Linked DNA regions of Neurospora crassa OR74A. The protein of the gene in region 3 purifies or fractionates together with the protein of the main gene of each other region. This does not show direct contact. Links are inferred from orthologs where the notes say so. Each region holds a gene or a part of one and is shown on either strand. Other genes may lie near its edges. The genes, in order: NCU02967, NCU11053 and NCU05363.

Region 1 (3,276 bases), on a different chromosome or scaffold from region 3:
TCTTCAGTCCCACTACAGAATCCATGCCTCCAGTCACACCCTCATCCGCGATTCACCAGACATCAGACGCAGGTGGCGCACCCGAGATCCAGCACCCACGCGCTGGGCTCCATCGTTCCGACACGGGCTTCGACAGCGTCGACTCGTCCTCCTCTCCACACAACGTATTGCAGGACATGGTCTCCGTATCCACCATCGCCGCCGGGCCCTCGGTCCAGCTCGTGGAGCGCATGAGTGCCAAGATCCGCCAGCTTGAGAGCGAGAAGGTGACGGTGCGCGAAGAGCTGGCACGCATCTCCAAGCAGCGGGACGAGGCACGGGCGGAGATTGTGGCGCTCATGGGCGAGGTGGAGAATCAGAAGAAGGCGGCTGAGAGGGTGGCTGAGCTGGAGAGGCAGGTGGCGGAGGTGAATGAGCGATATGAGACGACGCTGGAGCTGTTGGGCGAGAAGAGCGAGGAGGTGGATGAGTTGAAGGCGGATGTGCAGGATTTGAAGGACATGTATAGGGATTTGGTGGAGAGGACTATGAAATGAGGTCGTGAGTGGTGAGTGAGAGGGGACGGACTGGGTAGTGATTCTTGCATACATAATAAACTATTCAAGATGGCTGGTAATGAAAATGAGTTGTCGTGTGGGTATGAAGGGAAGGGGACTCTAATGGACATGTGACTAAGGATGGCTTTCACTAATATTTTGGATATTGATGTCCATAAACCTTGGTTTAGCCCATAGCATCACTATCTCGTATTCATCGCCCTTTTTTCCGGAGCAAATTAAGTCAACGCTCGTTCTCCTCATCGTGTCATCTTCGCCACACGTACCCCCAACCTGCACCTGCAAACGGGGTAACCTAAAGCTCAATCCCCTCCTTCTCGGCCTCTTTCTCAATAAACCTCCTCACATCCTTATCCGGCGCCAAGTCCAATGCCAAATATCCATCCATATCTTTCTTGTCCGTCTCCGCCCCGGCCTTCAACAACGCAACAGCCGCATGCCCATGTCCCTCGGCCACCGCATGATGCAGCGGCGTATACCCCGCGTTGTCGCTGGCATTAATCGGCGACTTGTGCTGCAACAAAAGATTGATCATCGGCACGGACCCAATAGCCGCGGCGCGGTGCAAGGGGTATTGCCCCCGTTTGTCCTTGACCCGGACCGAGGCAGGCTTGGGTTTCATGTCTGGAGACAAAAGCTTACGCGCGAGGTCAATGTTGTTTTTGGAAGCAATGAAGTGTAGGGCGGTTTGCGATTGGTGGTTGGTTTGGTTGATGTCGGCGCCGCGGGAAAGGAGGAGGTCGATTATGGCGTCGGAGTCTTTGACCGAGGCGGAGATCATGAAGGGGGTCCAGCCCATGTCGTCCTGGTTGTGTGGTGTAAGTTGTAAGTGCTGAGTGAACAGAGGGAAGGGAAAGGAGAAAAAAAAAGTGAGAGTTCCTACCTCAACATCGGGATCAAAACCCTTTTGGTTCACGAGTAGCTCAACGACTTCCTTGCGGTTGTAGGAACAGGCCCAGTGGATGGGGAGACGGCCATCGTCGTCCTTGCGTTGAGCGAGCTTGGGGTTGGCCTGGTTGTGTGTTTAGTCATTTTGCAAGTATACGTATTTTTGAAACGACATCTCACTCACATTGAGGAGAGACTCGACGATGGACGCTGAGATTGTGAAAATGTCAGTATTCAGTCATTTCGTGGATGGTTTAACGAGTGTCCTCAACTGCTCAGCTTGAAGGGTTCTGGAGCTTTCTATGCTCACCTTTACCATCCCTAGCGGCAGCGTGAATTGCAAACTTGTCTTCTGCCATATTGATCAAGCAGATGGATTACTCAGTAAGAGAGGCCTCAAAGTCAATCAGAAAGTCGATTGAATTGAGTTCCAAGGATTTGTTTGATATGGTGATGATGCTGTTGCATGAGTTGAACGTCATGTAAGTGATGCCTTCCCCCGGGAGCTTCCATGAGGTGTGTGAAGTCCGAAAGAGGCACACAGTGTGAGCTCGACTGTGTTTGCCAAGACGCTAAATGTGCTAAAAGATGTGGCCCAAGCTCCCCCAAGCCAGGACGTCAGCAAAAATTCCCAGCCGCGTCCAGGCCGCGCCGGTGGCGCTCGTCGGTGCTCAGCACACTGTATCACTTTCATCACGCACTGCATCCAGTCTTCAACTTCAACTTTGACATCAAGTCAACAACCACGGCTCGAATTCGGATTTCATCACAACAACCGACTCAAAACCCCCTCCGGCTATATTGAAGAATAATTCGCACAAAGAACCCAAACGACGAAACGACCCTACCTATCCGACATCCGACCCTTAAGATGGCGGCCGAGGTTGCCAACAGCGCCGCCAATGGCTCTGGCCCTGACACCAACCCGCTCTCGACCATGATCCGCGAGAACGCTAGAAAAACGAAACTCATCTACGCCGCCACAGCCACAACTACAGATGCCTCTGGCACTTCCGGGAGAAAGCGTCTAAAACTCGACCCTGGGCTTGCGTCAGAAGATCCCGACATCACCAAGACCGGCCTATCTCTCCGTCTCCACGCCGAGTACAGCGACGTCCAGACCCTCCCCGAAGCCATTGCCTCCAAGTTGCCAGCCGGCGGACCACGCAAAAAGAAGGCCAAGCCAGCCATCGAAGAGGCTCCCTCAAAATCCGAAGAACACGCCCGCAAACTCATCGAGGGTATCCCACCGAGCAAGTCCGCCGCCGCCAACTCGAATGCTCTGGTCCTGTCGCGCAGCAAGCCCGGCGGCGCTGGCGCGTCGTCAACCAGACCAAATGCGCAACGAAACGAGCCCCAAACAAACAGCCTGGCGCGGCGATCCGACGTGCTGGTACAGCCCAGGCCAGATTGGCACCCACCTTGGAAGCTTCTCAAGGTGCTTTCGGGCCATCTGGGGTGGGTGCGTGCCTTGGCAGTAGAACCGGACAACAAGTGGTTTGCCTCGGGCGCAGGCGACCGCACTATCAAGATTTGGGATTTGGCGTCAGGAGCGCTGAAGTTGACTCTTACCGGACACATCTCGACGGTTCGCGGATTGGCCGTGTCACCGAGACACCCATACCTGTTCTCGTGCGGTGAGGATAAGATGGTCAAGTGCTGGGATTTGGAGACGAACAAGGTTATCCGACATTACCACGGCCATCTCAGCGGTGTTTATACCCTTGCGCTGCATCCTACACTGGATGTTTTGGTAACAGGCGGTCGCGACGGTGTCGCGCGTGTGTGGGATATGCGGACAAGAAGCAACATTCACGTCCTCTCTGGACAC
Region 2 (3,502 bases), on a different chromosome or scaffold from region 3:
CAAGTCCCAGCAAGCAGACGGGTACCCACCAACACCACCCCGCAGCACAGCGATATACACTGGAGCGCCGATGGTGTTTGATGATGATACCGTCCATGTTCGCGGAGGGTGGGATGTGGACTGACCTTGCCGGTACCACCGTCACCGACGAGGACGAGCTTGAAAGTAGGGGTCGCGGCAGCCATTGTGTATGATGCTTAATATCGCAGGCGAAAAGAAGCAGGTAAACAAGTCCTTTTGGGAAAGTCAGCTATCGACCGGTCGGAGCGACACAGATGGGCGGGGTATCGAATGGTTAAATAAGGGCGAGGGAGGGAGGGATCCAAATCGAACTAGAGACGCACCTTTGCGATTTTGCAGAGGGTGGGAAAATGGGTGTGGTCAAAAAGAGAGGAAGCAGTGGACCTCAGACAGCCTGGTGGATGATGTTGTGTTTTCAAGGCACCGCCGCTCAAGGGAATGAATGGGCCACCAGCCTTGACGAAAAACTCGTTGGGCGGCGGGGTGCTTGTTAGGTGACGGGCACGTGACCCGCCTGGTCAGTGCGGTACCCTCAACCAACTGAAGGCAACGAACCTGATGCGCGCAAAGTCAAACCGATCGATGAGGCTGCCATTCACTCCGTCTTGCCGCAATGCCGTCCGTTCGTGTCTTATTTTCTGCTCCTGACGTGCTGACGTGCTGACAGTCGCGTGTCGGGAACAAAGAACTGAACCTACCAGAGGTTTCAAGCGTTGGGCTACAGTGAATGCGCACTCTCATGGCATCGACCTTATCCATCTATCTCTTTTTCCATTTTGTCATCAGGTTTGCTCGTTCAAGCTCGTTTGTTTTGTTTTGGTTCTGGCCTCGTTACTACGGTGAGGGAGAACCCCCTGGCGTCTTGGCTTTTTGGTTCATCTTTCGAATGCCAGTCAGTCTCAGATCCGTCGTTTCCTTCATTACAAAGCAAATTCCCAAAGAGGCCTCATTTCCAGGCGGCAATGGCGCATCCTGATTCTTCCCTAACATATCTGAGCGGATTTGGTGCCCAATGACGCTACTCTTGTATCACAATCTTCTTCTGCCTAGTTCCAGGCCATCATCTCGCCCCGGTTGCCTTTTCATAGTGGCAAGATATGGCATCCAAGCATACCTCTACCGCCCCAGTCGCGGCGAGGAGTCAACGTTAGCCGAAGCTCTTGGGTTCGTGTCCCTGCCGTGCTCCGAGAGACCTTGACGAGGATATTTTGCTACGAAGTATACCCGGTTAGCTCAGCTTTCTCTAGGTTGGCAACTACTGAGGATGGACAGAGCCTGGCACGACTTACCCCTTCATTACCCTGAACACACTCTGCGACCTTCCTTAGGCTGTCATGGTTGGACCGGTTGACATAACCAAAGCTGCGAATCAGATCACCGGCCTTGAGACCTGCTGTGGCCGCCGGACTGTTATCAACGACACTGTTGACTTTGGCAAATGGCTGCTCCAGGACTTCGGGTACCGAGTCTGGCAGCGGTGCGGATTGATCCGTGGGAACAGGTGTTGACTCTTCGTCGTCGTCCTGGATGCTGGCGAAATGCTCATGCAGACGCTTCTCGATCAAGGCCATCAGCTCCTTGTAGTCGTTGCGAAGATGGATGATGCGCGACCTTGTTGTGCGGATTTGCGCAACATCGATATCTGATCTGGGAAAGCCATCGGGAGTAAGGAGGTTTGTGTTCATGTCAACGCCGTGCTGGAATATTTGATCAGTCAACTGGCATGATGAAGGCTCGAAGGATATAAACTGGACCAACCGAATCAAGCACTCCGCTGAGCGCCTTGAGCTCCCCCTCGATAGCATCCTTCTTGCGCTGGAGCTCAGCAAAGGATAGATGGGCAGCACTGCCGTTGGTGACAGGGGCAGAAGTCGGTCCCGAGGGGACAGTAGGCGCATGAAGATTGCTCATGGTGAAGGGTTGTAATTTCGTAATATCTTATAAAGGGTAAGCCTCAGTTGTGGAAATCACCAAGCATGATGAGATCTCGATCTCAGATTGGAGTATGTATGTACCTAGCTGGCTCGTGAATTACCTAGGTAGGTACTTTGTAGAGTACTCACATAACCCGACCCCATACCCAAAGCTTCCTAACCCAAGTGGATACGCTAAGACCGACCCCACACTATAGAAAATCTCTCAATTAACTATCACCCCTTTAATACGTCGCATACATACCTTTTAACTTTCCCTATAGAGAAATAACCGGCGCTTTTGATCCCAATAAACGAAACTTACCTACAAATAAGAAATATATAAGTCCAAATAATATTAGCCCGAACTCACCCTTCCGTAAACCTTCCACAACAATTCGTAATAACACCTACGTAATCTATCCCTAATTAATCTCTAATTTATTATATTTAATATAAAATAAGTACTAACCCTATTTCTAACGCTAATACTTTAACTATTATTACTAGGCTTAATTTAATTAAATAGAATAATAAAGTATTTAATAGACCGTCTATTATATTCGAATTATAGTAAATTATTAGTATAGTAGCCGAATTTAATAAATTAAAGGATTTAAAGGATATAACCCCTCTTAATATTATAATACTTAATAATTTCCTAATAAATCTTTATTAATATATTTTAAATATATCCTATATTAATTAATAATTAATCCTATAATATTAATTATATAAAAGTTAAAACTATAGGCCTAACGCTTATTTTATTTAATAATATCAATTAATACTCCATTTTTATCGAAATAATATACTATATAATTACTATTCTAAAATACCCTAAGTCTTCTACTCTTAGTATAGTATATATTATAAATATTAATAGTTTAACCGAAGATTAGGTTAAGGCTCTATAGAGCGAGGTATGTAACGGTAGTATTTTAAAATAAAATAGTAATTTAAATAAAGTTAATATCTAATTACTCTCTTATATCCTAGATCCAATATTGTATTGCAAGGAAAATGCTTGCGAAGGAAACTTCCTCTAATTATTTGAATAACGCTATCTATTATTATACTATATACAAATATATTGGTATTAAATATTGTAAATATTTAGACTATAGAATTTAGTAGGTGTATAAATAAGGGTTTATACCTATAGTCGACGAAGAAGTTATAAACCTTTTATTTTAAATCCGCCTTCAATAGGATAAAGTCCCCTTAGCTAGGCGAATTATTAAGTATAGATTTATCTATAATTTATCCCCGGCTTTAATTATATTACTATAACCTAATTAATGGTAATTATTATTTATTAATATAATTTTTATAATTAGTTGGGTAATAGGCGGCTAGAATGTATTGGGAAATATAGGGCTATAAGGAATTAAAGCTATTTTATAAATTTATTTAGTATATAAGTAAGGTATTTCCTATTTAAAATATACTCCTTATAATTAGCGTTACTTATATTCCTAACTTATTTCTATTAAGATAATTATTGGCTATATTCGCTATTAGTTAAAATATTAGAATTCGAAGTTAGAAGAGAAGATATATTTTTT
Region 3 (3,754 bases):
TCATCTTGTTACGTTGTTGTTGCCTTTTTTTTTTTTTTTTTTTTTTTTTTTGGGTGTGTGTTGTTGTTGTTGTTGTCGTTGTCGTACGTTTGTCTACGTATACCTCAAGTTTCCCAGTACCCCCTTCTCTGCACTTTTCCTGTCGTTTTCCATTGTTACCATTACCATGAACCATTTGCCATCACCTGAACTTCGCTCAAAGTATTACTGCTGCTGGTGTTTGGAGTACTTGAAAACTTGCATGTGAATAGGCGTCTCGTTTTGGTCTGTGGTTTGTAAGTTAGTTCTTGCATGGCGCGGTTTCGTGAGAGTTTGGCTGGGACTTTGTGTTAGTAGCTTGGAGCACAATATCCTTTCGTCTCGGTATTTGTCTTTCGTGCCGGCGCGGCTTTACAGGTTGTAGTTGTCCCTGAAAGACAGAAACTGTAGTTCAAGATACTATGAGGGTTCGCCACTTCCTCACGGATGGCCACGCAGCTTACAAATAACCATTTGACATTCGAGAGACCGACGCCATTCCAATGCACAATTTACTCTCAGTTTCGGCATGATATTCGTCTTCGTGTGACCGTTGTTCTGAAATCCGGTAATGACCTAGTGCAGAGTCAAGGCGGCAACAGGGCCCAGGATACGTCTGAAAGTCAACGGTAATGTTTGCATCTCCATTCTGTTGATTCCGCTAGAGGAGAGAGTAGGTATACTCCGTTGTTGCCAAGGACCGCTTTCAATCTTGGAATGTACAAAACGATACACTTTCAGACAGCCTATGCAGACGACAAAGGCAGTCTTGAGAGTGATGCACCAAGGAAAGTAAAAAAAAGCTGAGTCAGTTACTTTTCCCATAAAAGTACTATTGTATTCTGTATCATATCGTTGCACGCATGAAACCACCACTCTTCCTTCACTTTTCCCCTCCCCGGGCAGACTTAACGCCACAATTTGGCCAACGACACCTCCTTATCATCATGCTTATTCAGAATCTTGGCCGTGGCCAGTTCAAAGTCCTCCTGTGTGACATGCACGCGCCTCTCGCGGAGGGCGTACATGCCGGCCTCGGTACAGACACCCTTGAGTTCGGCGCCCGAGCACCCGTTCATCTTCTCGGCGATCTTGGTCAGGTTGATGCCGCGCGTCAGGTTCATCTTGCGGCTGTGAATGCGCAGAATGTCGGCACGGGCCTCGACGCTCGGCGGAGGGAACTCGATCTTGCGGTCGATGCGGCCAGGGCGCAAGAGGGCGGGGTCGAGAATGTCGAGACGGTTGGTGGCCATGATAACCTTGATGTTCTTGGTGGGCTCGAAACCGTCAAGCTGGTTGAGGAGCTCGAGCATGGTGCGCTGGACTTCGGAGTCGCCGCCAGACGAACCCTCGACACGCGAAGAGCCGATGGAGTCGATCTCGTCCATAAAGATGATGGAGGGCGCGTGCTCGCGCGCCATGACGAACAGCTCGCGTACCATGCGGGAACCCTCGCCGATGTACTTTTGCACGAGCTCGGAACCCGAGACACGGATGAACTTGCAGTCGGTGTGGTGGGCAACGGCACGGGCGAGCAGGGTCTTGCCGGTACCGGGAGGGCCGTAGAGCAGGACACCCTTTGGTTGGGCGATACCTAGCGACTCGAACAGCTCGGGGTGCTTGAGGCCGAGCTCGATCACCTCCTTGATCTCCTTGATTTGCTGGTCCAAACCACCAATCATATCGTAAGTACTGTCGGGCACCTTTTCGACCATCATGAGGGACACGAGCGGGTCTACTGAGGAGGGAAGCATCTTTTCGAGCTTGTACGAGTCTGAGAGAAGGGTGACGCGCTTGCCGACGGTGAGCTTGGTGATGTCGACATTGTCGGATACATCGACAACTGGTAGGCGGCGGGGCAATAGGTCAGTTACTTCCATCTGTTTACCCATCCGTAAAACAGGACACTCCAGAAGGAGGCGGAGTGCGCATACCATATTTGCCCTCAGGGTGTACCTTGACGAGGACCTTCTTTGTGCTCATAACCTTGACGACCTCACCCACATAGGACCCGGGCTGTTGTAGCAGACCGAGCTCTTCCCTGAGCAGGCGCACACGCGAGTTGTAGTCATTTCGTTGCGCTTCGAGACGGCGGAGGACGGCTTGGCCCTTGAGGATCTCGAGCTTCATGGCCTCGATCTTGTTGTGATAATAGTTGTCGAGCGCCATGGTGACGGCGTGTGGGGGAGAGACGGAGCTCTCGCGGGGGGGGATTAGTGATTGTTTGTTTTGTGTAAGGTGGGATAGGTTTGCCCTTGGGTGCGTGGTCGGTATTCGGTCGTCGCTTGCTCGTCGAGATTAGTTGTGTGTTGCGATGCGCAGACACTCGATCGTGGTGGCGGGTTGCGGTGGTGATGTTTACTGGTGGTGAAATGGCCGGGTGGAGGTGGTGATGGCGTTCGGTGACCTTCTGAAGACAGGCAGCTTCAGGTCAACGCAACACACCCGGCCGGCTCCCAATGCCAAGACTCAGCTCCCGCCTCTAGACTAGGTATCAGAGCGCCATGTCAGGATAAGGTACGTACCGATAAACGGCAGAGGCTCGTGCTTTGATGGGTTACACGTGACCTCGTGGCTCCAGACTTGCAGGGGAGCTTTGAAGGTGAAGATGGATGCCCTTTGAAATGATGTCACTTCCAGCTGCGTCGTCGACTCCACATGCTGCAGTGCAGTGCTGGGTTGTGGTATCCAATCTCGCCAAACTCCAAAAAAGTCCTCGTCATGCTCCGGCGCGGTCCCGTCACGATTGCTACCAGCACGCATACTCACCTTTCCCTGCAGATGCTCGTCATCCAGCATAAGAGAGGACTCGCTCTGCACTGCGTCTTTCAAGTTTTACTTTTGTCTTCTACTGTTCCCATTCTCATTTCTCCTACTCAAGCTTTCCAACTGCCCGTCAGCCTGTATAGATGGGACTGAAGGGAGGGCGCACTGCACATGTCACACTGCACATGTTTCATTTCCATGAGCCTGCCCGTCGTTCAGCTACATACCCCTTCTTCAGGCGGCTACCTAGGGAGCTAAGGTATCAGGTGGCTTCTTATATGAGCGATCCTTAACTTGCCCCTCCAGTGTGACTGAGATAGTTTTTGCCTTCTCCAAGCCGAAATAACACTGATCACCATTTTTGTGGTTCGAAGTCAAGGTTGAGTCTCGGTGAATGAGAGAGAGGACGGTCGCTTGGCATAGGAAACTCTATTCCACCATGAGAATGACCAATCATTTTTTTACGCATACCGTCCTGAAGTGCGTACGTATACCCGTTTTTATACCCGTCGCAGTCATGCTACACCGTGCTTTCCTCTTACCCGCCGCGGTTCAACATGGTGATACTCAATATATACCTCTGATGAGAAGTGAGGCAGCCCTGCGATATCAGCTCAGCTGATGGAGTGGGGGTTGTCAACCCGGCAAGCCAAGCAGGGCACCGAAGCCCGGCCACCCTGGTGGTGAACCTAGGATCAGTCATCCATCACGGTCCATGATGACCTGAGACCGGCGTCGACCGGGAGAGACCATTTGCCTTCTCTCACCCTCCACATCATGATGGCAGCGAACCGTGCTGGCCAACCGGTGCACGCGGCGGTCACATCAAATCCTCCCTCGCGCCGTTCCCGTCTTGGTTCCAGATGCGCCAATACTTGCCAAGGATCGAGGCATCATGATGGCGACTTGGATCCAAGTCATTCAGCGTGACTGATACTGTGCTGCAGCAGAGTGTCGCTAGAGATGGTTA

The links.
Region 1: the proteins of NCU05363 (region 3) and NCU02967 purify together in Saccharomyces cerevisiae (affinity purification with mass spectrometry; 7 studies listed by BioGRID, with this or other methods). This does not show direct contact. The link is inferred for Neurospora crassa OR74A from reciprocal best matches to the Saccharomyces cerevisiae genes RPT6 and NAS6.
Region 2: the proteins of NCU05363 (region 3) and NCU11053 purify together in Saccharomyces cerevisiae (affinity purification with mass spectrometry; 5 studies listed by BioGRID, with this or other methods). This does not show direct contact. The link is inferred for Neurospora crassa OR74A from reciprocal best matches to the Saccharomyces cerevisiae genes RPT6 and NAS2.

The regions. Positions count from the first base shown.
Region 1 is NC_026501.1:8,551,730-8,555,005, forward strand, and holds NCU02967 (ankyrin repeat domain-containing protein), read right to left. Parts: upstream 1,950-3,276; 5' UTR 1,805-1,949; coding exon 1,756-1,804; intron 1,656-1,755; coding exon 1,630-1,655; intron 1,570-1,629; coding exon 1,441-1,569; intron 1,363-1,440; coding exon 853-1,362; 3' UTR 569-852; downstream 1-568. Other genes in the region: NCU02968 (hypothetical protein), read left to right, coding at 1-536; NCU02966 (pre-mRNA splicing factor prp46), read left to right, coding at 2,317-3,276. UniProt on the Saccharomyces cerevisiae protein: Acts as a chaperone during the assembly of the 26S proteasome, specifically of the 19S regulatory complex (RC) and appears to have an overlapping role with RPN14.
Region 2 is NC_026501.1:9,335,781-9,339,282, reverse strand, and holds NCU11053 (26S proteasome non-ATPase regulatory subunit 9), read right to left. Parts: upstream 2,077-3,502; 5' UTR 1,933-2,076; coding exon 1,780-1,932; intron 1,719-1,779; coding exon 1,311-1,718; intron 1,233-1,310; coding exon 1,104-1,232; 3' UTR 610-1,103; downstream 1-609. Other genes in the region: ran (GTP-binding nuclear protein GSP1/Ran, variant), read right to left, coding at 126-185. UniProt on the Saccharomyces cerevisiae protein: Acts as a chaperone during the assembly of the 26S proteasome, specifically of the base subcomplex of the 19S regulatory complex (RC).
Region 3 is NC_026502.1:1,421,629-1,425,382, reverse strand, and holds NCU05363 (26S protease regulatory subunit 8), read right to left. Parts: upstream 2,488-3,754; 5' UTR 2,188-2,487; coding exon 1,953-2,187; intron 1,862-1,952; coding exon 927-1,861; 3' UTR 158-926; downstream 1-157. UniProt on the Saccharomyces cerevisiae protein: The 26S proteasome is involved in the ATP-dependent degradation of ubiquitinated proteins. The regulatory (or ATPase) complex confers ATP dependency and substrate specificity to the 26S complex.